7 linked regions of the Ovis aries genome follow. The protein of the gene in region 1 interacts with the protein of each later gene in a pairwise test. Links are inferred from orthologs where the notes say so. Each region holds a gene or a part of one and is shown in the gene's direction. Other genes may lie near its edges. The genes, in order: CEP70, ABT1, ATOSB, ZBTB16, G patch domain-containing protein 4, RHPN1 and ARHGEF3.

What was found.
Region 2: the proteins of CEP70 (region 1) and ABT1 interact in a two-hybrid assay, tested with the Homo sapiens proteins (2 studies listed by BioGRID and IntAct). The two-hybrid records come from large-scale screens. The link is inferred for Ovis aries from reciprocal best matches to the Homo sapiens genes CEP70 and ABT1.
Region 3: the proteins of CEP70 (region 1) and ATOSB interact in binary tests that used the Homo sapiens proteins (3 or more experiments, as listed by UniProt). The link is inferred for Ovis aries from reciprocal best matches to the Homo sapiens genes CEP70 and ATOSB.
Region 4: the proteins of CEP70 (region 1) and ZBTB16 interact in binary tests that used the Homo sapiens proteins (3 or more experiments, as listed by UniProt). The two-hybrid records come from large-scale screens. The link is inferred for Ovis aries from reciprocal best matches to the Homo sapiens genes CEP70 and ZBTB16.
Region 5: the proteins of CEP70 (region 1) and G patch domain-containing protein 4 interact in binary tests that used the Homo sapiens proteins (3 or more experiments, as listed by UniProt). The two-hybrid records come from large-scale screens. The link is inferred for Ovis aries from reciprocal best matches to the Homo sapiens genes CEP70 and GPATCH4.
Region 6: the proteins of CEP70 (region 1) and RHPN1 interact in binary tests that used the Homo sapiens proteins (3 or more experiments, as listed by UniProt). The two-hybrid records come from large-scale screens. The link is inferred for Ovis aries from reciprocal best matches to the Homo sapiens genes CEP70 and RHPN1.
Region 7: the proteins of CEP70 (region 1) and ARHGEF3 interact in binary tests that used the Homo sapiens proteins (3 or more experiments, as listed by UniProt). The link is inferred for Ovis aries from reciprocal best matches to the Homo sapiens genes CEP70 and ARHGEF3.

Annotation. Positions count from the first base shown.
Region 1 is NC_056054.1:251,194,922-251,198,829, forward strand, and holds part of CEP70 (centrosomal protein of 70 kDa), read left to right. Parts: coding exon 1-180; intron 181-3,908.
Region 2 is NC_056073.1:30,523,773-30,528,480, reverse strand, and holds the start of ABT1 (activator of basal transcription 1), read left to right. Parts: upstream 1-1,590; 5' UTR 1,591-2,727; exon of another isoform or gene 2,728-4,007; 5' UTR 4,008-4,708.
Region 3 is NC_056055.1:53,360,624-53,365,079, forward strand, and holds the start of ATOSB (atos homolog protein B), read left to right. Parts: upstream 1-1,412; 5' UTR 1,413-1,529; intron 1,530-1,903; exon of another isoform or gene 1,904-2,044; intron 2,045-3,631; exon of another isoform or gene 3,632-3,762; intron 3,763-4,456. UniProt on the Homo sapiens protein: Transcription regulator that may syncronize transcriptional and translational programs.
Region 4 is NC_056068.1:24,499,547-24,503,454, forward strand, and holds part of ZBTB16 (zinc finger and BTB domain-containing protein 16), read left to right. Parts: intron 1-1,778; coding exon 1,779-2,008; 3' UTR 2,009-3,908. UniProt on the Homo sapiens protein: Acts as a transcriptional repressor. Transcriptional repression may be mediated through recruitment of histone deacetylases to target promoters. May play a role in myeloid maturation and in the development and/or maintenance of other differentiated tissues.
Region 5 is NC_056054.1:106,565,357-106,569,947, reverse strand, and holds the start of G patch domain-containing protein 4, read left to right. Parts: upstream 1-1,676; 5' UTR 1,677-1,750; intron 1,751-3,657; 5' UTR 3,658-3,715; coding exon 3,716-3,794; intron 3,795-4,252; coding exon 4,253-4,326; intron 4,327-4,433; coding exon 4,434-4,526; intron 4,527-4,591.
Region 6 is NC_056062.1:14,223,864-14,228,529, reverse strand, and holds the start of RHPN1 (rhophilin-1), read left to right. Parts: upstream 1-1,605; 5' UTR 1,606-1,711; coding exon 1,712-1,789; intron 1,790-4,632; coding exon 4,633-4,666. UniProt on the Homo sapiens protein: Has no enzymatic activity. May serve as a target for Rho, and interact with some cytoskeletal component upon Rho binding or relay a Rho signal to other molecules.
Region 7 is NC_056072.1:44,413,702-44,417,609, forward strand, and holds part of ARHGEF3 (rho guanine nucleotide exchange factor 3), read left to right. Parts: intron 1-398; coding exon 399-585; intron 586-2,805; coding exon 2,806-3,158; 3' UTR 3,159-3,908. UniProt on the Homo sapiens protein: Acts as a guanine nucleotide exchange factor (GEF) for RhoA and RhoB GTPases.

The DNA of each region.
Region 1 (3,908 bases):
AATGAACTTCAGCAACAGCAAAGCCGAGCAGCAGATCAGGAACAACGAGCTAATGACTTGGAACAAATTATGGAGAGTGTGAAGTCCAAAATTGGTGAAATGGAGGATGAATCTGTAAATAGGGTTTGCCAGCAACAGAATAAAATAAAAGAACTTCAAAAGGAGCATAAAGCTTTACAGGTACTGAGTTAAACATTTTCTTACATGATAGTCTTAAAACACCTTGTCAGTGTTACAGGTGACTTCCATGTTGCTTAACTCAGTGATCCTTATCTTCCTTTACCTATTATTGTCATTGTCTTGAAATTCTTTCTTTGCTGTTTCCATAATATCTTCTCTTCTGGTTTTCCTCTAACCCCACTGGTTATTTTTTGATCCCTTTGTTGATTCTTCTCATTTTCCATGACTCATCCCTTCAGTTCAGTCGCTCAGTCGTCTCCGACTTTTTGTGACCCCATAAATCGCAGCATGCCAGGCCTCCCTGTCCATCACCAACTCCTGGAGTTCACTCAGACTCTCATCCATCGAGTCAATGATGCCATCTAGCCATCTTATCCTGTCGTCCCCTTCTCCTCCTACCCCCAATCCCTCCCAGCATCAGGATCTTTTCTAATGAGTCAATTCTTTGCATGAGGTGGCCAAAGTATTGGAGTTTCAGCTTCAGCATCAGTCTTTCCAATGAATACCCAGGACTGATCTCCTTTAGGTTGGACTGGTTGGATCTCCTTGCAGTCCAAGGGACTCTCAAGAGTCTTCTCCAACACCACAGTTCAAAAGCATCAATTCTTTGGCACTCAGGCTTTTTTCACAGTCCAACTCTCACATCCATACATGAGCACTGGAAAAACCATAACCTTGACTAGACGGACCTTTGTTGGCAAAGTAATGTCTCTGCTTTTTCATATGCTATCTAGGTTGGTCATAACTTTCCTTCCAAGGAGCAAGCGTCTTTTAATTTCATGGCTGCAGTCACCATCTGCAGTGATTTTGGAGCCCCCCAAAATAAAGTCTGACACTGTTTCCACTGTTTCCCCATCTATTTCCCATGAGGTGATGGGACCAGATGCCATGATCTTCGTTTTCTGAACGTTAAGCTTTAAACCAACTTTTTCACTCTCCTCTTTCACTTTCATCAAGAGGCTCTTCAGTTCCTCTTCACTTTCTGCCATAAGGGTGTTATCATCTGCATATCTGAGGTTATTAATATTTCTCCCTGCAATCTTGATTTCCAGCTTGTGCTTCTTCCAGCCCAGCATTTCTCATGATGTACTCTGCATAGAAGTTAAATAAGCAGGGTGACAATATACAGCCTTGACATACTCCTTTTCCTAGTTGGAACCAGTCTGTTGTTCCATGTCCAGTTCTAACTGTTGCTTCCTGACCTGCATATAGGTTTCTCAAGAGGCAGGTCAGGTGGTCTGGTATTCCCATCTCTCAGAATTTTCCACAGTTTATTGTGATCCACACAGTCAAAGGCTTTGGCATAGTCAATAAAGCAGAAATGATGTTTTTTCTGGAACTCTCTTGCTTTTTCCATGATCCAGTGGATGTTGGCAATTTGATCTCTGGTTCCTTTGCCTTTTCTAAAACTAGCTTGAACATGAGGAAGTTCACCGTTCACGTATTACTGAAGCCTGGCTTGGAGAATTTTGAGCATTACTTAACTAGCATGTGAGATGAGTGCAAGCTTGTGCAGTAGTTTGAGCATTGTTTGGCATTGCCTTTCTTTGGGATTGGAATGAAAACTGACCTTTTCCAGTCCTGTGGCCACTGCTGAGTTTTCCAAATTTGTTGGCATATTGAGTGCAGCACTTTCACAGCATCATCTTTCAGGATTTGATATAGCTGAATTGGAATTACATCACCTCCACTAGCTTTGTTCATAGTGATGCTTTCTAAGGCCCACTTGACTTCACATTCCAGGATGTCTGGCTGTAGGTGAGTGATCACACCGTCATGGTTATCTGGGTTGTACTCATCCCTTGCTGCTGCTGCTGAGTCGCTCAGTCGTGTCTGACTCTGTGCGACCCCATAGATGGCAGACCAACAGGCTCCCCCTCCCTGGGATTCTCCAGGCAAGAAGGATTGGGTTGCCATCCTTCTCCAATGCATGAAAGTGAAAAGTGAAAGTGAAGTCGCTCAGTCGTGTCTGACTCTTAGCCGCCCCATGGACTGCAGCCTATCAGACTCCTCCGTCCGTGGGATTTTCCAGGCAAGAGTACTGGAGTGGGCTGCCATTGCCTTCTCCGACCTTTCTTTTTCCTATAAATTCTAACTTCTTTGGTGATGCTCAGTCTAAGTCATAGTACTTTTAAATCTGTGGCACAGGCTTCTTCCCTTAATTGCATACTCACATCCTGCATCCTACTTGATATCTCTATTGGATGGCTAATTAGGCATGTAGAACTTTTTAACATGTCCAAAACCATACCTGGATTTCTTCCCCAAACTTTTGTCTTTTAGTCTCCACTCTGGTCCAAGTTACTTTCATTTCTTTCTTGTGTCTTTCTTGGTTTCCCTACTCCAAGCCTTGCCTTTTTCAATGTGCTCTCAACATTGTAGCACCCTCTAACTTCACTTTTTCTTTTTTTTAAGGGAAAAATCCAAAACTCTTTACCATGATCTTGCATGATTGTCCCTGTGTTGCACCTCTTGCATATTCTATTCCAGTCACACTGGCATTCTTGATTTTCTTTGAACATTTTCCTTGAACATTCTCACCTCAGGGACTTTGTATATTTTGTTCTTTTTCCCGCTACCATGCGTGGTTTTTTAGCTGCGTGGTTTGTTTCCTCTCTGCTTACTCAAGTGTCACATCACCATCTCTCCGGGATTCCTTTTTTGACTGCTTCACTTACAGTTGGCAGTCCTATCCCCCAACATATCATCTGGCCTTCCCTGCTTTGTTTTATCCATAATTCTTACCACCATCTAACATGCTGATATACTATACACTTTGTTTGTATATCTCTGTGTTAGAATGCAAGCTCCATGAGGGCTGATATTTTTGTCTGTTTTGTCTAGGGCTGAGAAAATGTCTGCTTTATTATTAGTTGTAGATGCTCAATAGATATTTGAATTATTGATTATAAATTTTTTAGTTTTTATTGAAATAGCAATGTTATAACATTGAATATTTAATTCCTAATTTTAAAAACCTCTTTTAAAACTTGGGTGTTTATTGTAGTTGAAAGAAAGAAATCTTTTGTAGGAAAAATCAATAGTTGTGTAAGACATTACAGATTAGAAACAGTATATCATTATAAATGTTTTCTGTTGGCACAGCATTATGTGTACCTGTTGCATACAAGGTGTTTAGCTGCCTAAAGGGACAGTACTCCTTAGGCAGGGTCTGGCTGTCCCCTCAGTTTATGCTAGCAGCATTGGAAGGATGTGATAAGTTAAATTTCAGGGATCAGAGAGAAACAGCGCGAGATACTAAGAATTCCTGGTATGAAGCTGCAGGCAGTTGGTGTTCTGCCCTCATTTAGCCTGCCAGCTTGGGGCCAGCAGTGTTGGACCTGTTGGTGTTCATAGCTCCAGAGAAGATACTAATCATTCTTTGGCCAAGCCTGTTTCTGTTATTTATCAGTCAATAAGATCTAGCATTTACGTTTTTAGGTTTGCTTTGTTAGGTAGCGTTCCTTATCAACAGTATATTCTAAACTGTCTCTGTGGGGAGGGGGATTTTGGACATATTTCTCTATGCATTTGATTTTGACCTTCATCTCAGATATAGGACATGTAGAAATATGAAGCTCTGTAGCTCAGGGGTCCCCAGTCTCTTGGATCTAATACCTGGTAAGAGGTGGAGCTGATGTAATAATAATAAAGTACACAGTAAATATAATACACTTGAATCATCCCAACCCCCCTCCCCCATCTGTAGAAAGATTGTCTTCCACAGA
Region 2 (4,708 bases), on another chromosome or scaffold:
ATACCAGCACACGAACAGGCCTCCCGGGCGGACAAAAACCCAGACCAGGCAGACCCCGTACCTAGACCTCCCCGAGCCAGAAGGAATGCAATGTCCACTATCTAATCAATCACTATCTGTAATCTTAATAATATTTATTGATGTGGGCTTTAGAATGTGAATTTATGGCTAAAACCTGACTGTATCTCTTACTAAGGTTGTCCAGAGCCAGTTTGGGTATGTGAGCTTGGGCCCATACACTTTGGGCACAATAGATTGTCACAAAACTCGGTCGGGGTCCCTGGCTAAAGAGGAAACTCTGCCTCGGACCGCGAGTGTAATAAACTGCAATCCACTATTCACGCTATCCTTCTGAGTGAGTTTGTTTCCCGGAGCTTTTGGCTACATTTCATGCGTTGGCCGGGAAACTCCTCACTGTGAGAGACAAGTCCCATTTGGGGCTACTCCGACGCTTCGCGGCTCTGATCTTCTAGACGGGGTTAAGGCGCCTCGTCCTTCTGTAAAGATTCCACTTCCCCACGCCGGGATCTTTCACGTTAGTGGGTAGTGGACTGGGGCAGGGGAGTTAAGCGCTCACGTAAGGAGATTCCCACCCTGCGGGGTGGAAGAGGGGGCCTGATCAACCCCCTGGGAGGGAATAGGGGACACATTGCTTCTGCTGCTGCTGCTAAGTCGCGTCAGTCGTGTCCGACTCTGTGCGACCCCGTAGACGGAAGCCCACCAGGCTCCTCTGTCCCTGGGATTCTTCAGGCAAGAACACTGGAGTAGATTGCCATTTTCTTCTCCAATGCATGAAAGTGAAAAGTGAAAGTGAAGTCGCTTAGTTGTGTCCGACTCTTAGCGACCCCATGGAGGGGACACACTGACCGTCAAAGTCATAAAGGAGGTGGTGTCCGCGTCGTCTTGGGGTAAATTATTACCAGGCGATTGCGAGAGGGCTTTGGGAAGAAGAAACTTGGTCTTTGTGTGCTTATATTCTGCCCTCCCCGAGGAGGTGTCCCATCTGCTGTGGAATTCATCCCCTCAGGGTTGTCAGGCTTAAAGAAGGAAGATACGCGAGTGAAAACAATTTGACCTTTCCCGAGACCGTCTGGGACGTGGGATATTTAATCCATCTATGTTTTCATCCGCACCCAATCAAGCCCACCAAGGCAGAACGGACTTTCAAAGTGAGAGGAGAAAATAATCTTGGACCACTTGGTGTTCTGGTTCGGCACTGCGGACCTGCAGATGAAGACTCGCCAATTCCCCTTCTAGCAGGAAGGCTCTCCTCACCCCAATTAAGAAGGAGGCGGAATGGCAATATGTGTTTCATTGAGTAGAAATATCAAGAAGTACTTAGGATACCGAGAACTTCGTGGACAGAACGAAAAGGGAAGGAAGAAGAAGGTCCGAGAATGTAAGCTAGATGGGAGGAAGTGAATCTAAGGCAACTGTATTGGAGTGCATGATTAAGAATTTTAAGAAGGAATTTGAAGAAGATTATGGGGTGAACATGACGCCTAACCGATTCCGCATATTCTGTGAGGTTGAACGGCCCTCTATGGGAGTAGGATGGCCACCAGAGGGCACCATGGACTTAAAAACAATAAAAGCGGTCTGCGGTAGTCACCGGAACGCCGGGGCAGCCGGATCAATACCCATATACTGATTCTTGGCTGTGGTTGGCTCGAGATCCTCCCCCTTGGGCAAGACTCTGCATTCAAAAAGAGAGAGGGAAAACATTAATGGCACAAAAATCGACTGATGACAAAAAAGAAATTCTGCAGGATCCGGACGGGAGTGATTTGCCCTCTCTCCCATACTGGATGACGCGCCGGCCACCTAATGCTCACCAGGACCGGAGGCCGCCTTAATGACCACCGATCCAGGGCCTGCTGGGGCTCCACCAGCTGCTCCTGGGCCAACTCCCCCGGAGATCGTAGAACCGCCATTTCGGCAGGCTCCGATCCCGGCGGTAGGAACCTCTAGTCAACGTCCACAGGACTCAGCCTCAGCCGAACCTCCTAAAAAGTATCAGCCTCTCCCGGTGAGTACTGACGGAAAGGGGGAAGGAGACACAGGAATTCGACAGAGGCTGCGCTCCGCCAAAGAGCCGGGGTAAACAAATGCCTCGCAGAGAGCTACAACAGAGTGCAACAGCTCCGGTTCAGGGAGCAGACAGACACTACCACCAGCCTCCCCGAGCCTACTATTACCAACCATTTTCCTCTGTGGACCTACTAAACTGGCAGAAACCCAAGGCATGATCAGGCTGATGGAGACTATTTTTCGAACCTACCATCTTACGTGGGAGGACATAATCCAGCTGCTAGTTTCCCTCTTCAGCACTGAAAAAAGACACAGGATCCATACTGAGGCTAGAAAATGGCTACAAGAAGTGGCCCCCGAGTGTACTGTAAACCCACAGCGGTGGGCAGAACTAGCCAACCCTGATGAAAGGCCCGATTGGGACTATAACACAGAGGCAGGAAGGGGCCACCTTGAGAGATATAGGACGGCTATTTTACAAGGTCTCAAGAGGGCTGCCGTAAGTCTATAAATATGGCAAAACCAACCGAAGTAGTCCAAAAGGAAACTGAAACACCTACTGAGTTATATGAAAGACTATGCAAGACCTATAGACTTTATACACCAATAGATCCAGAGGCAGCTTGGTCTCAAATTGTGATAAATACAGCCTTTGTATCTCAAGCCTACCCTGATATCAGACGCAAGCTCCAAAAGGTAGGCAGAGTATTAGCCATGACCAGCACACAAATAATTGAGATTGCTAATAAAGTGTTCAAAAACAGAGACGTGGAGGCAAAAAAGAAGGCTGAGAAAAAACGGAGAGAAGAAAACAAGAGAGCAGATCAGAGGATGGTGTTACTGGCTGAGGCCTTGGGAAGGCCCCTCCTTGGGCCTTCCTCAATACCTCCACCCCCTCTAAATCAGCCTTGGTCTCCTGGCAAGCCTCCTATAAGGAAGCCCAGGATCGCCCTGCAACCAAATCAATGTGCCCATGCCGGGGCTTCAGCCACTGGAAAAATGAATGCCTTCAGAACAGCTGGGAAAAATAACTGGCATTGATTGTTTTAGGGCTGGCTGAACTGGAGGCTGAATAGGGGTGCCGGGGCTCAAAGACACAAGGTCCCCAAGAGCCCATGGTAAAACTAAAAGTGGAGAACCAAATTATTGACTTTATGGTGAATACTGGAGCAGAAATGTTAGTGGTGACCGAACCGGTGACCCCCCAGAGAAGGCCATTGCTGCAGGAGTAACCAGGGAAAAGCTGATTAGACTATTCTGTCTACCCCCAAAATGCCAGATTGGGGTGGGGGGGGCATCAAGTGACTTATGAATTCCTGTATATTCCTTAATGCCCAGTACCTCTTTGTGGAGACTTGTCATCTAAATTGGGTGCACAAGTGACCTTTCTCTCCAAGAAAGACCCGCTCTCGACCAGCTGTTTACTCTCCCTTTTGGTAACCCCTCAAGATGAATGAAGATTGCATGATCCTTTGGAAGGGAAGCCAGATGGGTTAAACAATCCAAAGAGAGAGCTGATCCAACAATTCCCTGAGGTTTGGGCGAAAGATACACCCCCACCCCGCCCCTGCCTGGGCTTGCCAAACATCAAGCTCCCGTGGTAAGAGAACTCAAACCTGGTGCCATACCAGTCAGGAAATGTCAGTACCCGCTAGCACTGGAGGCCCGAGTTGGTATCCTGCCACATATAAATAGGTTACAGCAGGTGGGCATCATGATTGAATGCCAGTCAGCCTGGAACACACCAATCCTGCCAGTTAAGAAGGAAAGGGGACAGGACTACAGGCCTGTACAGTACCTCAGACTGGTCAATCAAGCAGCGGTAACTCTACACTCCACTGCTGCTAACCTATATACCTTACTCAGCCTCCTCCCACCGAGTGCTAAGATCTATACTTGCCTGTATCTAAAAGACACATTCTTTTATATCCATATTGCTCCGGTATCTGAACCTATTTTTGTCTTTGAATGGGAAGATCCTGCAGGGAGCACCAAACAACAGCTCACTTGGACTTGCCTCCCGCAAGGATTTAAGAATTCCCTGATCATTCTCGGGGAAGCCTTGGCTTCCGATCTGGACTCATTCCAGCCAGGAAGGTTTAGATACTGGCTGCTACAATACGTGGATGACCTGCTGTTGGCTGCAGAGAATAAAGAACACTGCTGGGAAGGAACTAAGGCTTTGCTAGAACTGTTGATGGAGGCGGGCTACCGAGTTTTGAGGAAAAAGCCACAGATCTACAAGATGGAGGTAAGATATTTGGGGTTTGTCCTGAGAGGGGGCAAAAGACTGTTGGACCAATCCAGGAATGCAGTAATCCTGAGAATCCCACGACCAAAAACCTGCATAGGTCCCAGAATTTTGGGGAGCCACTGGGTTTTGTAGAATTTTGATCCCAGGATACTCTCAGATGGCCTAGCCCTTGTATGAACTCCTAACAGGGCCAGAAGGGGATTTACTAAATTGGGCTGAGAGGCAGCAACAGGCCTTTGAAAAGTTAAAATTGGCAATTACATTGGCACCTGCATTGGGTCTACAAGAACTTACTAAACCATTCACTCTTTATGTGACTGAAAAAGACAAAGTGGCTATGGGGGTATTAACCCAGGCCATGGGGACACGGGATAGACCAATAGCCTATCTCTCAAAACAGCTGGACAACATTGCTATTAGATG
Region 3 (4,456 bases), on another chromosome or scaffold:
TAAATCTAAAATTATTCTAAAATGAAAAGTTTATTTTTAGGGATTTTCCTGGTGGTCCAGTGGTTGCCCTTAGCCTTTCAATGCAAGGGGTGTGGGTTGGATCCCTGGTGGGGAGCTAAGATTCTGATGCCTCCCACCAAAACATCGAAAACATAAAACAAAAACAATATTATAACAAATTCAATGAAGACTTTTAAAATGATCCCGATAATAAAAAACCTTTTTAAAAATTTATTTTTTTAATCTAGTAATTTACCCAAATTTAGCTAGTAATCAAGTAATTTGCCCAATACAGCTAGTATAGTGTCCTTACCAAACCAAATGACTTCAAATTTGAGCTTTTTCCATGACACAAAACTCTTCCAATTTTACCCTCTATAAGGGGACGACAGAGGATGAGATGGCTGGATGGCATCATCGACTCAATGCATGTGAGTCTGAGTGAACTCCGGGAGTTGGTGATGGACAGGGAGGCCTGGCGTGCTGCGATTCACCGGGTCGCAAAGAGTCGGACACGACTGAGCAACTGAACTGAACTGAGCATTACAGAAGTATTAGAAAGACAATCTGAGCAGTTCCGTAAGAGCAGAACATTTTTTTCTTTTTCTGTTTTCATTTTGCCTAGCGCACCATTGGTGTTTAGTAAAGCCGCTTCTTAACTACTCACAGAAAGAAAGTCACAGAGATCTAAAGAATCTGAGACTTTGAGATAACTTTACCAGGTCCAGTCCATCACACAGCCATCAATACCTCCGACTCCATCGAGAAGCTCACTAGGCTCTGGGCTCAGAGCCACTCGGCTCTGCAAGGGACCTGGGATGCCATCTACCGGTGGCTCGTAAGCGTCGCTCTCCCCTGGACATATCTTGGGAACTCGTGGGGCTCCCGGGAAGTTGAAGACTCAAGCGCTAATTAAATTACAGAACGTGTGTAACAGTCATACAGGTTCAGTCGACTGAACAAAGCAAAGGCTCTACTTTGGCTCATAAAATTCACAGACTTCTCGCCGACCTACCTCCACAGCTATAGACCTAACTCTTACTGCCTGTCTCCTACACGCCGTAGGCTACAGAAAGTGCTCTTCCTCACAGACTTGAGACCCCGGCCAACCAGATTCCCGCATTTTCACAGAATTCTGAAGCTCTTTGCACTACTTTGCAAACCCTACAGATCTCCCCCATTAGGGCAAATACGCGCGCTAACCCAGATGCCTTCACTAAGAGGCTCAAGTTCCGCAGGCAGCTCACACCAGCTCGAAAGCCTGGGATGGCTCCAACCTGGTTCGGGCGCCCACAAGCAAGCGCTTTGGCGCAGGTTCTGGCTCCCCATCTCCGGCCGGATCCGGTCAGCCCAGGCCGCACACTGCGGACTGAGGCCCCGCCCCTTTAGACCTGTCATCACAGAAGCCGCACGTGGCCGGGGTGGGCCCTCAGGCGACCTGCAGCCATCACTTTGTCTCCTCCGCCATCCACTGGGGCCACCGCCGCCAATCAAAACCAGCGGTTCCGGGCTGCAGCGCCAGCGCCGGGGTGAGGCCAGCCAGAGAAGGGGCGGGGGGAGGAGAGGCTCCGAGATGGGAGGGGGCTAGCAGTGGAAGCGAGCCTGGCACCGGTTCTGCCAGCCTGGAATCCGAGGGGGCGGATCCTAGTGAAAGGCGAAGACCAGAAGGGGGCGGGGATCAAGGATGGGGCGGGGACCGGGGTGGGACGAAAGACAAGCAGAGGTTCTCTGTGGAGACGCCAAGAAGACGAGAAGGGGAGGAGCCAGAAAGGGGCAGGACCTGAATTACAGGGGAGGAGCCCCAGGAATTAAAGAATCTAGGAAAGGGGACGAGCCAGGGGAAGGTGGGAGGTGGGACAACGGAGAGGGTGGGTCGTGTCGTTGCGGGGGCGGGGCTCGGACCAAAGGGGCGAGGTTTGCAGGCCGAGGCTGCAGCTAGGGCAGCTATGTAACTGCTCCAATCCACTACCTCCCCAGTTGCAACGGGACTCGCGGAACTACAGGTGTGGGGCGGGTGCGCGTGGAAGAATGGACAAGTACGGGGGTGCGCTTGGGTAGACGTGAAGCGGGAGGATCATGTCAGGGAAGGAAAAGATCTGGAGAAATGCTGGGGTGGGGATGGAGTAAAACAGCTGGAGGAGGAGGAGGGGGGCTCACTGGGCTAAGAGGTGCTTTCTCCGGTACCCCTTGTGGGGGAAGGGCGGGAGTGCTTTGTGAGGCTGGGAAGTACAATGTGAGGGGGTGAGGTGAAGTGAAGGGTTGGAGATGATACTTGAGGGGGAGGGGATATGAAGGCGCTTTAGGGGAAAGTGGAGGGGGCGTTGTGTGATGGAGATCGGCTAGTGGTCCAGAGTGTGGGAGGGACTGTGTGGAGGAAGAAGGTGTGGGGGCTGTGGGCACTGTGTGAGGGGAAGGGGTTACAGGCCCCAGATGAGGAGGGGAGAACCCCTAGTGCCTTGAGAAAGTCTGGAGGCTTTGTAGAGACTCCAGGAAGAGGTTTTTGTACAGTGTCTCAGGGATGAGGGTGATGGGATTACTCGGGTGAAGAAGCCAGTCTGCAGTGTTCCTGGCTCCTCAGCTCCTAACTCCACCTTCAGGCCTGAGCACTCAGAGAGGATGCAGGCCCCACTTGCTACTAGAGCTTGTGTGACTGTCTCAGTCAGCTTTGGATCTGTCTGGCTGAGACTGGGATATTTTTCCCTTAGCTGGTGTCCCTGGGGACCCTTCCCCCCTTAGGTTCTGGGTACCCCTCACTGTAGTTCCTGTTCCTCCTAGAAGCTTGCCTTAGTCCCTGTCTTTCCCCTCCTCCCCCAGTTTGCCCTGCCCTTATGCTCTGGGTGTGCTCATTTCCCACTTCCTTCCTCGCCTGGGGCCTGGCCTGGTCCTTGCCTGTCTAGGAGCTGTGCCCTGCCCCAGACTTTGTACTCAGTGGCCAGAGACCTAGGTAACCAGCAGCAAGGCCCAGACCTCACCCTCACTGCTACCAAGGTCTCTCCCCACAGCCCCCCAAGTGAGTGGTAGATACCTTTTTACCACTTGCCACAAACTGATTTCTGCACACTTTTCCTTCTCCTGGGTAGGGAACCCTAATTCCCTCAAAAACTCTGGGCTTCTGTGGGAGAGGGAAATGGTCAGAAGTACTGAGGGTCTGCGATGCATGCTTTGAGAGGTCAGCCACTATTGTTGGCTGAACTGGGAAGGGAGGTTCCAGTTTCCACTGGGGGAGGGACAGGGAATGGCTCCCCACCCTCCTGGGTTGGAATCTGACTATCTGAACCAGACTAGGGCCTAGTCTCTGATTCCCTGAGGCGACTTGATTTAGCGCCAGACTTCTTTTTGCCCCTGGGCAGGCTGCAAGAGGGTGAGAAAGCCCTGCTTTCCACACCGTGGCTGAATGAGAGTGACAGTGTTGCTGAAAGGGGCCCCAAGCCAGTCTCCTCTGGCTGAGAGACTGGCTGGGGAGGGAGGGGGTGCCAAAGCCAGACAAAGCCGTGGGGTAGGGTGGGGTAAAGAAGGGCAGGCTGAAGCCTTTTGAGGAGGAGCTGATTGCTATGGCAACACAGCTTCCCAGATTGTCTCTCAGAGAGGCGGGCTTAGGGCGGACTCACTCCAGCTTCCTCAAGATTGTGGCATTTGTTTGAGTGGGTGGGGCATGAAGAGAAAGGGCATTGGTTTGCTATGCAGGGGCTGGAGTATATAGACTTTCTACTTCCTTACAAGCAGCAGAGCATCCAGATGCTTGGACCCATCCTCTGAAAATGGGTAAGAGTGAACAATAGCCATTAGGATTATAGCAGTATAAGGTCAGAGTTCTAGAGGCCTCAGTGGTAACTGTGTATACAAACTCATTTTACAGATTTGGAAATTAAGAAAGAAGAGACTGATATTTTCTCCAGGTCTCATAGTGAAAGACCAGGCATTGGGACCCAGGTCTTCTGAATACTCTTCACTCAGCCCAGGGGTCAATGTTTCGTTGAGCCAACATTTATTGAGCACCTATTATGTGCCAGGCACTGATACTGATTCTGGGAGTACTAGCATGAATACAACAGAGTTGCAGCTCTCATGGAGCTTGTATTCTAACCCAGGGAGAAAGAAATGTGTGTGTGGCTGCAGAGGGAGAGAAAGGAGAGGGAGGGGGAAAGAGGAAGAGAAGTGCCAGCTGGTGATAACTGCTATGAAGAAAAATAAAGCAGAGTAAGAATTTAGGGCAGCTAGGTAAAGCCTCTTGATTGTACAACGCTGCTTGCTCTCCCAGAGCACACTGAGGCCTAGGACGTCTTTGATCCTTCCCCCTGAACTACTGCCCCTAGACTTTTGCAGATGACTAAGGTCTGGGCCTATGGTCTTGGCAGTTAGATAGAACACGGTGGGGTCACCAAGGGGTTACTTCTTTCCTACAGTGTTGTATGTCTACCTGTCTTCCCAGTAAGCTTTTACTAAGGTAGGTAGGCTC
Region 4 (3,908 bases), on another chromosome or scaffold:
TTTTCTTAGGGCCTGAGGACAGAACAGGTGGAAGTGGTCCTGATGTCCAGCGCTGCCAGAGCTGGGAGCAGTGGAAAGCTGGAGCCGGCCCCAGCCTGCTGGGGAGAGCCTCCTTTCACAAGTCTTTCCAGCATCACCCCCACGCCCCGCCCCTGTGTTCATTGTTATCACCTTATTTGCTTAAAATCAGCCACATGGGAGTATTCACAGCATGACCATCTGCAAATGCTACAAAATCAGGGCTTTGTGGAGAGCCCAGTGTTAAACACTTACCACTGGCACACTGCTGGGTTGGAGGTAGATATTTAGAAGGACTTCCTTTGAGGATAAGAAGTGGTGGAAGGCAGTGGAATGTGGCCAAACAGAAAGCTCCCCTGATCAGGGGAAATAGCTGCCTGAGCAGAGTTAGAAGGGAGAGGCGATTCCGCTGGGCTGGCGGGGAGGGTGTGAATTCCTGGGAGGGGAGGTGGATGGAGGGGCCAGTAAGCACAGGATATGTGTTGTCACAGGTCTGCGTTGGGCCACACCAAGAGGATGGGGTGGTTGTTGCTGACAACTGGAATGACCCCCAGGATTTCGCAGAGCCTCAGGGGCTTCCTTAGCCCCTTGTGGGAGATGTGACCTGGCGGGTGGATCATTAAATGCATTGGCACTGACTATCGTAAATAGCCGGTCGATAGTTAGATCACTTTGGCTGTTCATTACTTCATTATTTGCAGGGGCCTCTGCACGGTGGAGTATCGATAGTGAGATGGCTGGCCAGTTAATTACTGTATCGAAACAAGGTTCTCCTGTGTCCTCCGCTCAGCTCCAGGGGACTGTAACAGAGGGGTGGGTGGTCACAGCTAGGGTGTAGGCCACAGGCTCCCAGGGTCTCCGTCCCTCCCTATTCTAGCTCGAGAGGGGAAGTAGGGTCCAGGGCAGATTCTTCCTAGTCTTAGAGGAGGAGGCATCCCCAGGGGTAGCATGCTTGCCAGACTGGGGTCCTCTCACTCTTAGCACCCCCTGCTTCTCATCATCTGTAGCCCTGAAAGAACTCTATCCCCTTGCTTCCGTAGAAGGAGTTGTGTGCTAAAGAGCCATCCCTAAGAACTTTAGAGGCTTCGAGGGCACTTTTTTAGATTTCTGTTTTCTCTCTTAGGAAGGAGAGAGTCCACACGCTAGAGAGAGTTAACGCTTCAGTCCAGGGGCTGGAGCTGGCCCACACATGACCACTACCTCCATGTGGCTAAATTTACTGGGTTGGCCAGAAAGTTCATGCAGGGTCCCAATACCCAAGACTTCCGTTGTGACTCAGCTGGTAAAGAATCCACCTGCAGTGTGGGCAGGATTGGGTTGGGAAGATCCCCTGGAGAAAGGGAAGGCTACCCACTCCTGTATTCTGGCCTGGAGAAATCCATGGACGGTACGGTCCGTGGGGTTGCAAAGTGTCGGACACGTCTGAGTGACTTTTGCACACGCACACACGCACACAGGCACACACAATACATTAGTTATGGTGAACAAGATTAAGAGTGTAATATACTGGAAACTAACACACCATTGTAAATCAACCACACTTCAGTTAAAAACACAAAGAACATAGGGTCGCGGTCGCACAGGCCACGGTTCAGGCACTTGGGAGCTGGATGTGACTTGTGGCCGCCACGCTGGGCGGTGCACGCGGCACACGGAGAAGTGTGGGCCCAGAGGGCCTGAGCGTCCCCAGCTCGCCGGGGTGGGGCTCCTCACGGCCCCCTCCCGCCCCCTGGCCTCTCCTGACCCCCCTTCCCCCACAGGCGAGAAGCCCTTCGAGTGTAAGCTGTGCCACCAGCGCTCCCGGGACTACTCGGCCATGATCAAGCACCTGCGAACGCACAACGGCGCGTCGCCCTACCAGTGCACCATCTGCAGCGAGTACTGCCCCAGCCTGTCCTCCATGCAGAAGCACATGAAGGGCCACAAGCCCGAGGAGATCCCGCCCGACTGGAGGATAGAGAAGACGTACCTTTACCTGTGCTACGTGTGAGGCCGGCCTGAGGCCGCGGCGGGGGAGCCGGGAGCAGGAGGAGAAGCGATGGAGCTGGGTGGAGTCCAGGAGGACCGTGCAGGGCAGAAACACACACACACACACACACACACACACACACACACACACACACACACACACACACACACACACACACAACACACAGCAAGAAACAAAAAGCAAATGAAAAAAAAGGAGAAAGAGAGAAAGGAGGAAAAGGAAGTCTCGGGGCTGTCTGGCTCTGGTTCTGCCTGGGGCTCCAGGTGACCCGGATGCCTGGCCCAGCCCCTCCACCCAGGCCTCCATCCCTCCTTTCCTGGCTGGGGGTCGTTGGCCTGCTCTTTTCGGGTGGGGGTGGAGGGAGGGGGTTTGTCCAGCTCAGATGGTGGGATGTTTTTCTCTTCCCTCCACCCAGATCCTCCTTTTGTGTCCCGAAATAGAAACTAGGAAAGGGCTGCGGGGTCCTCTGGTCAGAGTCAGACCGTCCCTGCCTGCCGTGCCCACTGACTCCCCGGAAGGTCGGGGGCTGAGGGATGGGTGGGGGTGTGCAGGGGGCGGCCTGCAGAGGCTGGGGCTGGGCTGGGTCACTGGTTGATGCTCACAGTGGCAGCTCTAGTTTGCTGGGGGGCACACTGGGGTGGGGGAGGGACCCCCTCCCGCCCTTCCCACTGCTCAGTTCATCTGTTGCTTTCTTCCTCCGCCACACCCGGGAGTCCCTTCACAGTCTTTGAGGAGCCTCGGGGCTCTTGCCTGCTCCCTGGCTCCCCTTGACTCCTGTTCTCCCAGCCCCCCCATGGATCGGAGTGTCTCCTGCCTCCTCCGGCTCCCTGGTGGGGAAGCTGGGTCTGACTAGAGAACACCCCCCTCCCCGCCCGTCCCCCGCCGCCAACTTTCACCCTTTTGGTTTCTGAAAAAATGCAGACAAATTCAGTGGAATAGCCCATCCCAGTCCAGCCATCCTGAGCAAGACTCCTGCTGAGCTGCTTTTGCTTCCAAAATGGAAAAATGTAACAGCTAAATACATGCTGTCCCACCAAACGAACACAGCCCCTAGGAGGAGGGTTCGGTCCGTGAAAGGGGTCGTGGCTGGTGAAGGGACGTGATGTCCTCCAGAGGTGCCCTACACCTGGTGGGGGGTACCCCTGTCCTGGGAGGGAGTTGGGATGCCGTGCTGGGGACCCTTGGAACTCATGGGACCCCCCCAGGCCTGGTGCTCTCTGCAGGGAGACCCAGGTCCAGAGGGCTGTGCAGAATTCCTGGCTCCCAGGGGTGCCCAGGCCACCGAGAGGAGGCGTTGAAAGCGCTTTGCCTTGTGTTCCGTTTTGCTTCTGTTCTGTGTCCTCTGTTCACCTGTTAGCACATTGTACTTGAATTACCTCAGTTTTTTGTGACCTCATGAGCTTTTTTGACCCCTGTATCTCTGTTTTGGTTGGGGGTTGGAGGAATGGGGAGAGTGTTCTTTTCAGTTTCTTGTGTAAATTAATAGCTGGTTTAATAGACTTCAGCTGGCCAAGGCCCTCCCCATCCCCTCGGACGAGCCTCCCAGATGGAGGGAGCCGTGCAGAAGGAGCTGAGTACTCAGGATCTGAATGGGAGGCCGGGGCAGGAGGTGGGTGCCTGCCGGGGACGGGGCGCCGGGGACACCGCAGGACCACAGCTGGCTCTGACCAGACATGACGTCCCCAGGCCTAAAACACTCTGGAGCGAATCCCACCTTTCTTACAGTTTGCTGGGTCCTCCAGGTCTGGGGGCCTGTGTTCTTCAAATCCTTTTTCACGCGTGTGGCCCCACCTCCGTGTGCATTATCACTGCCAAAACTGGCCTCTGGTCTCTCTGCAGGGCTGGTTGGGGACAAGACGGCCCGTGTGTTGTTGCAATGGGGTGGGGGTGTTGTTTTTCT
Region 5 (4,591 bases), about 140 Mb from region 1:
CCCCCATCTATTTGCCATTAACTGATGGGACTGGATGCCATGATCTTAGTTTTCTGAATGTTCAGTTCAACAAATTATGGCCATTAGATTTTCAGAATGGCCGACAAAGAGTATGCTGAACAGAAATTGTGGGCTGAAAAGGGCCCTTGACCTATTCATGAGTTTTCAAACTTCTTTTATGACCACAGTATAATATGTAATATTAGATAGACAGGGGAGATAGAAAGGGTGGAATATTGAAACGGTGGAAATAAAATCAAGTTTGTAAAGATGATTGTACTAGTCCAACATTCTAATTTTATAGACCAGTGAAAGGTTGCTCTCGAGCAGGAAAAGGACTCAGATCTGACTGCCATTCACGAAACGCTCCTCTATTGAATCCAACCTCTGAACAGTATATTTGAAGCATTCCACATCACTTATGAAAGCATCTACAAGCCCACTAATCAAGATCCATTGTTTAACGTATTGTTCCCATGTAGCATATTTTAAAAGTAAAACTAATTTCATGTTTAAAAAAACATACTGGAATGAGGTAGTATGACATACTGAACAATTGTGACAAAGCTTGAGTGAAATGGCAGCTTTTCTCTTTGAAGATCCTAGGGGGCGCTAAGTTACCGTAAATATTAATGTGAAAGTGAAAGTGAAGTCGCTCAGTCGTGTCCGACTCTTTGAGACCCCAAGGACTGTAGCCTACCAGGCTCCTCTGTACATGGGATTTTCCAGGCAATAGTCCTGGAGTGGATTGCCATTTCCTTCTCCAGGGGATCTTCCCAACCCAGGGATAGAACCCGGGTCTCCCGCATTGTAGACAGACGCTTTCCCGTCTGAGCCAGGGAAGTCCAAATATTGACACAGGGATGCAAATAAGGGAAAACTTTTTTCTTTTTCCCTTCCGATTTTAGTTCCTGGGTGGCTCAGTGGACCCTAAGAACACTGTGGGGATGAGAGGATGTGCAACCTCTCTTGCTGACTTCTTTGCAATATGTTCTTTCCCTCTCCTGCTCAATGGATTCTCATACTTATAAGGCAAGTCTGAACTCCTCAACCTATTATGCATTCCGGGATTTTGCCTCTCCAGTCCCACTCGAGCTTCCAGCTTTGCTTGGGCTAGACAAAGTGCTTCTCGAAGTCAGGGCTCGTGTCTTACGCATCTTTGTATCACCAGTACCAAAGAAGAACAGGTCCTGGCACACAGTGGTGAATCAAAATGTGTTTGATGAACGTATTGAAACCTCTTACCTCTAGGATTTTATTTAAAAAAAAAAAAAAAACAAACTGTCCCTGCAAGCTGAGTATTCATCCCTTGAATTATTAATCACCTCAGAGGTACTACCTCCTTCTCTGCCTCCACGAATCTCTCAGGCCACTCTCGATGCTTTCACCTAAAATTTTCCTTTCTCGTATTTGTGCCTAGGACTAGTCAATGTTGGACCCAAAGCTATTCTCCGAACCCCGATAGAGTCAGGTAGGACTGAAGTCACTTAGCTGCTCAGGGCCTGCTGGGAGGCAATAAGTAGAATACCTCTCGAATCTCCAGAAATGGGCTAGCTCTGGGGCGGAGTTTCTATGGCAACCATACCGCAAGCCGGCCTCTCAGTTTCTCCGGGGACCACAGAGACTCAGTTCCAGCGTACATCTCTATGGTTTCCACAGCCTAGAAGGGTCGAAACAGCACTTCCGGGAAGATGGCTGCGCACAAGTCACGTTTGTCACATGTTTCTGCGGAGAGGATCTCGCAATGACGGTAAGGGGCTACAGTCCCCCGAATGGTGACTGTCATAGCCCGGGCTCAGGGGCAAATGTGACAGAAAGAGAATAGTTTTACTCAAGTGAAGCTGCGGTCGGAGGGCTGGAGTTTTAACCTCCACAGGAAGGAACCCTAGGGAAAGGAGCCAGCTCTTCAGAACCTCTGTAAGAATGGTAGCCCAGGGTCCCTTCTCCAGAAAACTCACGTTGACTGGAAAGAAGACAGTTCCTGAAAGTGTGCTCACAGCCTTCGCAAAGACTGCGAGCACAGCCTGGTATCTAGCTTCTGTCCACAGTTAGCTGTTCTAGGTCGGTTAAGGAAATTCCCACCTGTGTCATTCAGTTCAACAATTAAGGACTGAACGCATTCAGGAGCTGCATTAAGTGCATCAGGGGTTTGGGAATAAGACTAAGCATAGGCTGTGGTATATAATATAATTTCAAATTAATGCGACAAGGCATAGGCTGTGTAAGTCTTAGAGTGTAAAGCGTAAATGGCTATGAGCCTGTGAGTAGTGATTGAGAACACCAGTTCTGGAGTGCCTGAGATCCTAGATCCGCTACTTAACCAGCTATTTGATTTGTGCAAGTAGCTAAACTTTTCAGTGCCATTTCTTCAGTTGTAAGTTACAGTAAAAACACCTCCAGGGAATTCCCTGGTGGTCCAGTGGTTGGGACTCTGTACCTTCACTGCGGAGGGCTGGAGTTCAGTCCGTGGTTGGGGAACTAAGATCCTGCAAGGAACCCGGGGCAGCCAAAACAAAAACCCAAAACACCTCCCTGTGGGGTTGTTGGAAGGATTAAATGAGATAATATGTGTGAAACAATTAGCAACATGCTGGCATGTGGAAGGCTGAGTATAGAATTTGGGTTTTGGTATCAATGGCAGGTCCTAAAACAAGTCCCCCGCTGATAACTGAGGGATGACCGTAGTTGGGAATATAATAGAAGCCGGGCTACTATACAGTCATGCATCCTGGGCTCATATTTCCAGCTACATCCCTTACCAGCTATATAAGAAACCAGGCAAGAAACCGAGACTTTATTTTTCTCCTCTATAAAATAATATCTGTCTTACAGAACTGTTAGGGTTAAATGAGACAGTATAATAGTATGTGTAATCCTCCTGTTAAATATAAGAGCGCCTTTCCAAGCTGGACAGTTTCAAAAAGGGTGCTCCAACAAGACTGAAAGACAGTGGTGGTGAAGCCCCCACAGTGTAAATGCTGGGGCACAGGTATAGGATACAGGCTTTATTAAGCACTGCTGTCTTATAACTGGAGGAGGAGATGGCAGCCTACTCCAGTATTCTTGCTGGGAGAACCCCATGGGCAGAGGAACCTGGCGGGCTACAGACCAAAGGGTCACAAAGAATCACACAACTGAGCACAGACAGATATCACTCAGGTTAACAAACATCTCATTGCTTTGCTTTGTTTTTAACATGGTAATAAATCATGGGAGATATTGTCAGGTAGCGGTAAAGAGTGGGAATTCTGCAGACCAGCTGCCTGAGTGTGAATTCTACATGCATCAGCTGTGTGACCTTGAGCAAGTCACCTAACCTCTTTAGGCTTTAGTTTCCTCATTTGAACAAAAGGATAGTAATACCTTCCTGAATGCAAAGTTTAGGAAATCTTCCTGGACTGGGACGGTTACATGAAATGATCCATGCAAAGTCTTAGCAAAGCCCAGCGTGTGGTGAGCTCTCCATAAATTTAGGTATTATTGTTAATACTGGTCCTCCTTGACTTTCAGCATGTTGACCTCTCAGTGGTCAGGGAGCTCCCTAAGGACCAGGCCTCCCAGCTTGATCTCTGTTCCAGCTCCAGGAAAGAATTCTTATAAGAGCGGTTAGGATGGATTTGGTACATGATCTGAGCACTTTCTCCCTTCCTCTTAAAGGGATGACAGTGACTGCTGCTTCTCCAGTGAGAGCCTGAAGACAGTGACTTTTCTCACCATGAGTATCACCCCCGAGGTCAAGAGTCGGGGGATGAAATTTGCTGAGGAGCAGTTGCTAAAGCATGGATGGACTCAAGGTGATTCCCAGGGGGCCCCTTCCACATCCCCCAACTCCCTCACTACCCTCTGCCCAGGGGAGAGGCATTATCCTGGATTAACCTCTCTGTAGTCTGTTCAACGGAAGAGGAAAAGTTAAAGAGAAAATTTGCAGAAGAAAATTCAGCAATTTCCAGACATTTCCAGAAAAGGGAAGAAATATGACTGTGGATAGTGAGAAGGAAGTGGCTGAGAGAACTGGGAGTGGGAAAGAGATGACCTCTGTCCTGAGAGAATTATGGGAAAAGAGAGTTTGGGCTCAAAGACATGAAGACCGTATGGAGAGGGAGTAGGAAGAGTGGAACTGGGAGGGTTTCTGAGAGGGACAGGGCACGCTCAGTGCTAGGTGTGTGGAATGACAAGGGCATGTGCCAGGGTTGCTTTGTGAGGGCTTAGGGCAGGCAGTGGAATAAGCCAGGTCATTCGCTGTCTTCTGCAGGCAAAGGCCTGGGCCGGAAGGAGAATGGTATCACCCAGGCCCTCAGGGTGACGCTGAAGCAGGACACTTATGGGGTAAGACTGGACAGACTGCGGGAGGTCAGTGGGGATGGGAGATGGGGGCCTTGAAGATAGGGTGAGGGAGGGGATTGACAAGCCCTGAGTTCACACTTCTCTGGCAGGTGGGACACGACCCTGCCAAGGAGTTCACAAATCACTGGTGGAATGATCTGTTCAACAAGACTGCAGCCAACTTGGTGGTGGAAACTAGGCAGGTATAAGCTCTAATAGCAGGCATGTAACACACGAGGGCCTGGACACATGGGGGTGAGGGAGACGT
Region 6 (4,666 bases), on another chromosome or scaffold:
TAAAACCTGCTGAACCAAGAAGGAACCTCCTCCGGGGCCCCACCGCCTCCCCAGGGGTGACCGCTTATAACTCTGAGCGGCAGATTTGGTGTTGAATCCCACAGTTCCAAAGAACAAGCATCTGTAACTGGAGGTTTTTATTTCTTTACTTATCTCTTCATTTATTTTTGGCTGTGCTGGGTCTCTGTTGCTTTGTGCAGGCTTTCTCTGGTTGTACTAGTGGGAGTTATTCTTCCTTGCCAGACACGTCTTTCTCCTTGAAGTGACTTTTCTTGTAATGGAACACAGGCTCTGGATCACGCGGGCTTCAGTACTTGTGGTGCTTAGTTGCTTCATGGTATGTGGCATCTTCCTGGACCAGGGATCAAACCTGTGTCCTCCGCATAGGCAGATGGGTTCCTAGCCACTGCGCCACCAGGGGAGTCCCGGACCTCATGCTTCTGCACCTGGAATTCTGCTTTCTAACTGAGGCCTTATCTGCTGACTTCCCCCTCAGCAGGATGAAGCTTCAGCTTCTCTCACCCACTTCTTCACCCTTCCCCTCTCTCCTCCTCCTAACAGAAACTCCTTATCATGGTCCTCTATGGTCAAGCTGCCAGGACAACCTGAAATACACAGCTAAGTCAGGTCATATTCTGTGTTACATTTTATTTTCCTCGGAGTTAACAATTACCTTATTTTTCTGTTACTATTGTTTCAGATGGCCAGGGTTAGCCAAAGAGCTTAGCTTACAGGATTTAGCTCTGGGGAAAGCCAGGCTCTGGCTTGGCCATTTGGGGAGGGGCCCAGGGCTCTGCACCGAGGCATGGCAGGGACCCTGGGGAGATGGTTACTATGGACAAGGCTGGAAATTTATCAGAACTTGAAGATTTGCTATGGCTACTGCATATGCTCTGGTGTTCCTGCCCCTGCTCTTCGGTGAGGTGAGCCCCACATGAAATCTGAGTGCGTTCCAGAGTTGCCATAACTAGAGAAATTATTAAGGGCCTGGGGTAACTCTGCAGGGAGAGCAGGTTAGGGAGAGTTCGGTTCTGGAGGCAGGCTGGTCCCGGGAGGTAAGTCAGTTCTAGATGTAGGTGGTGAAAGTAAGATGATTCTGGAAGCAGGTTGCCGAGGGGGGTTCTGGAGTGTGGGCTCCAGAGGCAGGTTCCGGAGGAAGGTTCTGGAAGCGGTTTCTGGAAGTGTGACAATGGACGGCACCGCACTGGGGCCACCAGGCCAGAGTCTGGGTCCCCGAGCGGAGACAGAAAAGCGGACCTTAAGGGCTGCACGGGCGCTCGTGCCAGGAAATCCGTTAACAAGCCATCGCGGGTGTTTTCTTCGGACTAGCCCTGCGGAGGCCCCGCCGCCCGGCGGGTGGAACCCCGGCTGCCCCTGGGCTGTGCGCGGCGCCTTGTTTCTCCCTTTTCCGCCGGCCGGCGGTTGCCAGGGGCGACCGCATTCCCCTGGGGCTCCGCGGACACGAGTGGGCAGGGCCTGGCTTCGAGAACCACCTCCCTCACGCTCTGGTTGGCCAGCGCTGCTGTCCGTCGGAGTCGCCGCGGCCGCCGATTGGGCAGCGGGAAGTTTCGCACGCTCGGCGGCCTGCGCCCCGCCCCTCCTGCCGGCGGGGCCGCCACCCCCAGGAGAGGGCAGTGAGGAGTCCGTTGCTCCGGGGGTCCCTGCGCTGGCGACGGCCTCCAGGCGGACGCGGCCCGAGCAGCGGGCGGCGATGGTCCCCGAGGACAGATCGGACGGCCCGGGAGCCGGCGAGGAGAGCGCCCGGCTGCAAGCGGGCCCCATCCGCAAGGTGGGAGCGCTCGGCGGCCGGCGGCCGGCGGCCGGGGGGCGCCGGGAGGTGGGTTCCCAAACCCGGCCGCTCCTGTTGCCCGCTGCCGCGGGCGAGCGCTCGGCTGCGGGATCGGCACTGGTTTCTCGCGCCGCTGGACTCCGGGGCGAAACGTCGCGTAAGGTGGGCTTAACGGTGGGGAACTGGGGCCCCGTGCGGAGCCAGAGCCCGGCCGCTGGACTCCTGTCTAGTGCGTTTGGGGGACGCCTCCTGCGTCGACCGGAGCAGGTCGGAGCGCAAGTCCAGCTTGTGGTTTCTGGGAACAACACTCCAGGACCCTCATCTCTGGCAGGCGCTGGACTCTGGTCAGTGACAGCCCGTGGCCTTCGTGTCTGTTCCTGGCATGTCATTCCCCCTTTCCTAGCTGTTCCCTCTCTCCTAGGGCTGTTCAGCTGTGCCCTGGCCACCCAGCTCTGTGTTTGATGGAACTTTTAGCAACAGGTGGCTGATGCACCCGGGTACAGGAAATGGCTGGAGGATTTCCCAGCAGGTGGTTTCTCCCGCCTCACTTCCCCGCACCTCTGTCCCTTCCTGAAACCCCTGATCCCGCGGGGGCTGTGGACTGTGGACTGTTTCCAGGACTGAAAAGCTGTGCAAGGGAGGAGGGTGGAGACATGTGAGTCTGTGTCTGGGGAGGATTCGTGCTCTGGTTGCCTCACCTTGCAGCCCGGGAGCCTGGCTGTTCCCTGGGAGTCACTGAAAGGCTTCCCAGGGTTTATGCCAGGCCTTGGGCATCCACACACGCGAGAGTTTTCAGGCCGGTGCCGCCAAGCGTAGCTGCACCTGCACCAGGGAGGGTGTGAGGCCTGGCCCCACCAACCATCTTGCAGTCTGTTACCAGGCCTGCGCTGGCCTAGTTCCTGGCACACTTAGCCAGTTCTGGCCACTGCCTCTGCCATTTCCTCCTGGGCTTCTGGGGGATCCATTAGACCAGTGCTGCCAGGGCTGGAGCAGGGAGGGCGTGGGAGAGGCTCGCTGCTCTTCTCCATCAGGTGGGGGTTCTTCCACACATGCACGAGCTGGCAGACCCCTTCACCACCCAGTGTGGAAATGGGGGTGAGCGCCACCCAGCACTGCAAACTGGGCCACAGTCGCACTTCCCGCCAAGTCATGCAGCCAGCCTGCGTCCTGGAGGGAGCGCTGGGGTCACGAGACCATGAGGGGTGCTGGCTGCAGGCCTCAGAGGGAACTATGGTCTCCCGCCTTCAAGCACATCTCTCCGGGGGCACGTGACATCGGACACCTGATGAGCTGTGTTGACGGGACAGTCCCTCGGGGCTGGCAGCCTCTCCCCAGTGCATGGAGCGCCCCTCCCCAGGCAGACAGCCTTGCTGCTCACTCAGAACCTTAGGCTGGAGCTGTGCAGTTGGACCTTCAGAGGGAGAAGAGTAGAGCTTCAGCTATGGCCTGCCCCCTGCTCCGGATTCTCAGGCCTCCTGGAAGGGCGACTGCCTGTATCCTCTTCTCATTCCCTTCTGCACCAAGTGGGTATGGGAGGTACCATGGAGAAGAGGTGAAGGCCAGTGCGAAGACAGATACTCAACCAGCAGAGCGGAGAGAGGAGAGCCGTGTTTTGCCTTCTTCCTGCCTGATGCCACCTTGACACCAGCCCCCTCTCTGTCTACAGACGAGGACCTGTCCAGAGTCCCCCAGCAGGCAGTCATCCAGGGTGGTTGCTCTGTCTCCCCCATTGTTCAATGGGGATAAGTCCCCTCTCCCCAGTTACCTCAGGACCACTTGGAAGTCCCAGAAGAATGCTTCCTCCTGCAGGAAGTCTTCCCTGATTGATCCCTCCTGAGAACACTGGAATGTGGAGGAAATGTTGGGCCATAATCCAAGGTGGTCATGTGCCATGAGTCTTGTCTGTGCAAGAGAGTAAGGCCTTCTTTAGGGTGCCTCCTGCTTGGGGCTGGGATAACCTATAGCCCCCAGAAGGCGGGGACTGCTCTGTGTGTAGCAGTGGGGACGTATTTCCTCAGATTTGTTCAAGACAGCGGCCACTGCAGAGAGGCTGCATTAGCCCTGCACGCCTGTGCTTTCAGGGTGGGGTCCTGGGAGGCACTGTGTCCTCTTCCCTGTTCTGTTCCAGGGCCAGGAGACCACTTGAGCCTGAGGACATGGTCCAAGGAAGAACATTCTGAGAAGTCCTTCCCAACTCTTGGGCTGGTGACTGACCAGGCCGGGAGGTCCCTAAATGGCCACAGCAGCACCAGTCCCACTGGGGCCCTGAAAGCCCCTCCCCTCACAGAGGAAACCTCTCACCCTCTGAACCTGCTGCAGGGCTCTCTGCCTGGGGCCCGGGACACGGGCAGGCTGGCAGGATTGCCCGTGTTCAGGGCAGAAGCCACACTGAGGCACCTCAGATGGGGCTGTCAGAAGGCCTGGCCCTCTGCCTGTGAGCGGAGTGACCCTTGGGGCCTGTGGTTTGGGCATTTGCCGCAATAAGCGGCCAACTGGGATGGAGCCCAGCCACAGTAAGGGTGGCCCAGAGGAGACCCCGCACCCTGCAGGCAGGCTGCTCTCCATCAGTGCCCTGGCAGGAGCTGGCTGGTCGTCCCCTCCACCTAAACGTGTGCAGTCCGGCATTTGCATGGGCAGGACGGGTCATGGAGGTTATAGAAGGAATTCGGAAGCGCAGGAGGATGCGGGGAGCAACTGACCGTCTCCTGGCGGGTCTCCAGCTGGGCTGCTGAGTCCCAGAGCGGCACCCGACGGGCCCAGTGTCTTCCCAGGGCAGTCCAGCCCTGTCGCTGCCCGCCATGTCCTTGCTGGCCTGGGCCCAGTGACCTGTGACCTCTTCGCAGGGCTGTGACCTCTCGGCAGATTCACCGCCCGGCC
Region 7 (3,908 bases), on another chromosome or scaffold:
AAAGGACTGATTTTTTTTTTCCTCCATTACACCCTTTGTTCTATGGGGTTTCTATTTCTTTTTTAATATTCCTGTAATAAAAGTGCTAGAAACCACGTGTGCCTGCATGTGTTGTGACTTGTGAACACCCCTGGAGCTGGCAGACCTGAAAGCAGGTATCTGTAGGCAGAAAGGCCTTCTTCACTGGGGCCCTAGGGAGGTGCCCTTACAGGACAGGCAATGGATGCATCTGGAAATGCCTCCAACCCCCAACTGGTGTTCTCCTGGAGGTAGATTTGAGCTGAGCAGTTCATAGGTCAGTTTGAAACTGGTACCCAGAGACCTGTTATCCCCAGAGGTCTACTTATCAACTCCTTAGATTATTGCTTAAGGGAATCCTGTGTATTCTTTTCTTCCAGAAACTACATGTCTTCCTCTTCCAAGAAGTGCTTGTTATCACCCGCGCCGTTACCCACAATGAGCAGCTCTGCTACCAGCTGTACCGGCAGCCTATCCCCATGAAGGACCTCCTGCTGGAAGACTTGCAGGATGGGGAAGTGAGGCTGGGGGGCTCCCTGCGCGGGGCGTTCAGCAACAATGAGAGAAGTACGGATGGCTGTCCCTCTTGACCTGTGGAATGTCTTTGGTAGTGGTGGTTTGCAGGGAATGGCCGGCTGGTGAAAGAGACAAGCCATGGCCTTGGAGTCAAATTGCATCTCAGTTGTGTTTCATCACTTAGAGGTTGTGGAACCTTACTCAACCTCTAGGAGCCTTAGTTTCCCATCTGCAAAGTGGGGATGCATGCATGCCTGCTTCATATGATTGTTCTAAGGATTAAGTGAAACACTGTGAGTTGACCTCTGTCCAGCATGACCGGTGCCCCCTATGCTCCCTTTCTCTGACTGCTTCCACTGGATAAAAGCCTTCTTAAGACCAGACTGTCCCTATGTGACTGCAGCCACTTAACAGTGGGAGTTCACATAGCTGACTTGTGTCTAAAGAGGCACAACTATGGTCAACTGGGCTGAGGGTTTATCTGTAATTACTTGAATGGGCTTCTCTGACTTGAGATTTAGTAAACAAAGGAATTAACCAAGAGAAGCTTAGATAGCAGTGTCTATCTAGGGTCTTCTATGTGTCAAACACTGTGCCAGGCACTGGTATACATTGGTCTACCACAAAGGTCAATTTTGGGGAGCCCTGTGGAATTTACCTTGTGATGGAGAAAATAGATGAGAAATAACTAAATATTCTGGGTGTGTTTTTTTAAAAAAAAAAACAAAACACTAAAACCCATTAAGGAGACAGAGAATAGCAATAGGAGATCTGTTTAAGATGAAATGATCAGGGAAGTCGTCTTTGAGCAAGTAACATTTGAGCCTGTTGGGTTAATATTGCTGTCATGTTGTCCAAGTAGTTAATATACGCTGCCTCTTACCTCCACACCAGCCCCTCTGCCCTAGTGGTAGTACTGGTAGCAGTAGTAGTACTTACATTTCTCCAATAGCAATGTAGGAGCATTTACATATGTTATTATGTTTATCCCTCATAATAACTATCTAAGGTTGAATCTCTTTGTTTTCCCCATTTTACAAATAAACTGAAATGTAGAGGAGTCAAGGCATTTGCCTCACAGAAAAGAGTGGAGCTTGAATTTATCTGAAGCCAGTCTGTTGACCTCAAGGATCTTACAGGGGGACTGGACTGACTGAGCTCAGACACGTCCATGAACCACATACATGTGACTCGTGGGGCCCATGAAATGCCAGTTAATGTTGTTATTAAATTAAATCAAATGTCTTCCATATTGCGCACCATCATTTTTTAAATGCACATAGCTCCAGGATTTCCCTCGCAGTCCAATGGTTAGGACTACATGCTTTCACTTCTGAGGGCCTGGGTTCAACCCCTGTTTGGAGAACTAAGATCCCACAAGCCACATGGCATGGCATGGACAGAAATATATATAAATAAATAAAAATTTTAAAGAAACAAATGCATATCACTCCTGTTGGCAGTTATTAGAATGTCATTTCATTTTAAAATGAATCCAAACTTTTAAGAGTTCTGTCTGTATCTTGGGACTTCCCTGATGGTCCAGTGGGTAAGGTTCCGAGTTCCCAGTGCAGGGGGCGCGGATTCGATCCCTGGTCCGGGAACTGAGATCCCACATATTGCAGCTAAGCCCACGCGTGCTTCAGCTACTGAGCCCATGCACCCTGAAGCCCACATTTAACAACTAGAGAGGCCTGTGTACTACAGTGAAGACCCAGTGCAGCAAAAAAAAACACAAAAGAATTCTATCTTTACATGTCTTCTCAGTCATCGGATACTAAATACACAGGTACTATCGTGTGGAGGATCTTGGACTTGTTTGATGTTACAAAGAGCGTCTTGAACTTGAAAAAGCTTTAGCTTGGGGCAGTTGTTAAAATGACAGATTATCAGCTCCCCCTCCCTCCCCGACTCCAGATCTGTTGAATCCAAATCCCTAAGGGGAGGACCCCAGGATCTGTATTTTTACCATGTTGTTTGGAGATTTTGATATATGGCCAGGTTTGGTACCCAGTACTCCAGGGTCCCAGACAGAGTTGTTCTGTACTGATTTGATAGCTTTGGAAGGCCACTGAGTGCCAGACCTGTGTCAACACCTGTTGGTTGATGGAGGCTGCAGGGTGGAGCCGAGCCATGTCCTGAAATAGTAGGACATTTAGTAATCAGTGAGTGATCTCGCCCTGAATACCAGGGTGAGTGTCACCACATAGGTTATCTTTGACCTGCGGAAATATCTGCCCACTGACCTTTTTTGTGTGTTTTTTTTTCTAGTTAAAAACTTCTTCAGAGTGAGTTTCAAAAATGGATCGCAAAGTCAGACCCACTCATTACAAGCCAATGACACATTCAACAAACAGCAGTGGCTCAACTGTATTCGCCAAGCCAAAGAAACAGTTCTGTGTGCCACGGGGCAGGCTACGGTCCTTGATTCTGAGGGACCATTCCTAGATCCCGCCACCGGGAGCAGGGAACCACAGGGAGAAACAAAACTTGAGCAGATGGACCAATCAGACAGTGAATCGGATTGTAGCATGGACACGAGTGAGGTCAGCCTCGACTGTGAGCGCATGGAACAGACAGACTCTTCCTGTGGGAACAGCAGGCATGTTGAAAGCAACGTCTGACAGAAGCGTGTGCTTCCTGGAAGTCGCCCTGTGTCTTACCTGTACAGTATTTGCATTCCACATGTGGAACGGTTTGGAGAAGCACTTTTTCACACTTTTGTGACTGTGTTGACCCAGTCTCTTCTGTCTGTACTTTTTTGTCTCTTGTACTGTAACTGCCAATTTGTGTCAGCTGGAATCTGTGGCAACTGTTACCCTGTGTTGTTTTTCCCAAGTGTCTGGATGGGTGGATATGTACTTGAACAAGTTATCAATATTTTCACTGGTCCTGCTGGATTTTAAAAAATAGAAAACAGCCTCTAATCTGCTGTTTCATATAGATTACTTTTAAAGGATCCTTCCTCATTTCTCTAGTACTTTTCTAGCTCTTTGACAGAGTAGCTAAAGGCATGAATTTTCAAGGGCCTTGCAAACAGGGCATGAGGAAGTTACCTGTGTAATCATTATGGTGTTTGAAGGAAACCGGGAAAGATCATTGTTTCAAGTTAAATCAGTCTGATATCATCCAACCAAAAAGCAGGAAAACATCCCTGGGGATTCTGAAGGTTTAATTTCGCAAAGGAAGAAGCGCTCTCTTGACCTTGCAATTTCATCCAGTACAAATCTGATGCAGTAATTTACTAGGACATGAAATAAAGTCTGACCTTAAAAGGATCAGCACAAAAGCTGCTGTCAACTCTGAATCTTGAACTGAAGTGTGTATTGTATGAGGAGGGCTCTGCCATAGATGCTGGCTGGCCTTAGATAGGC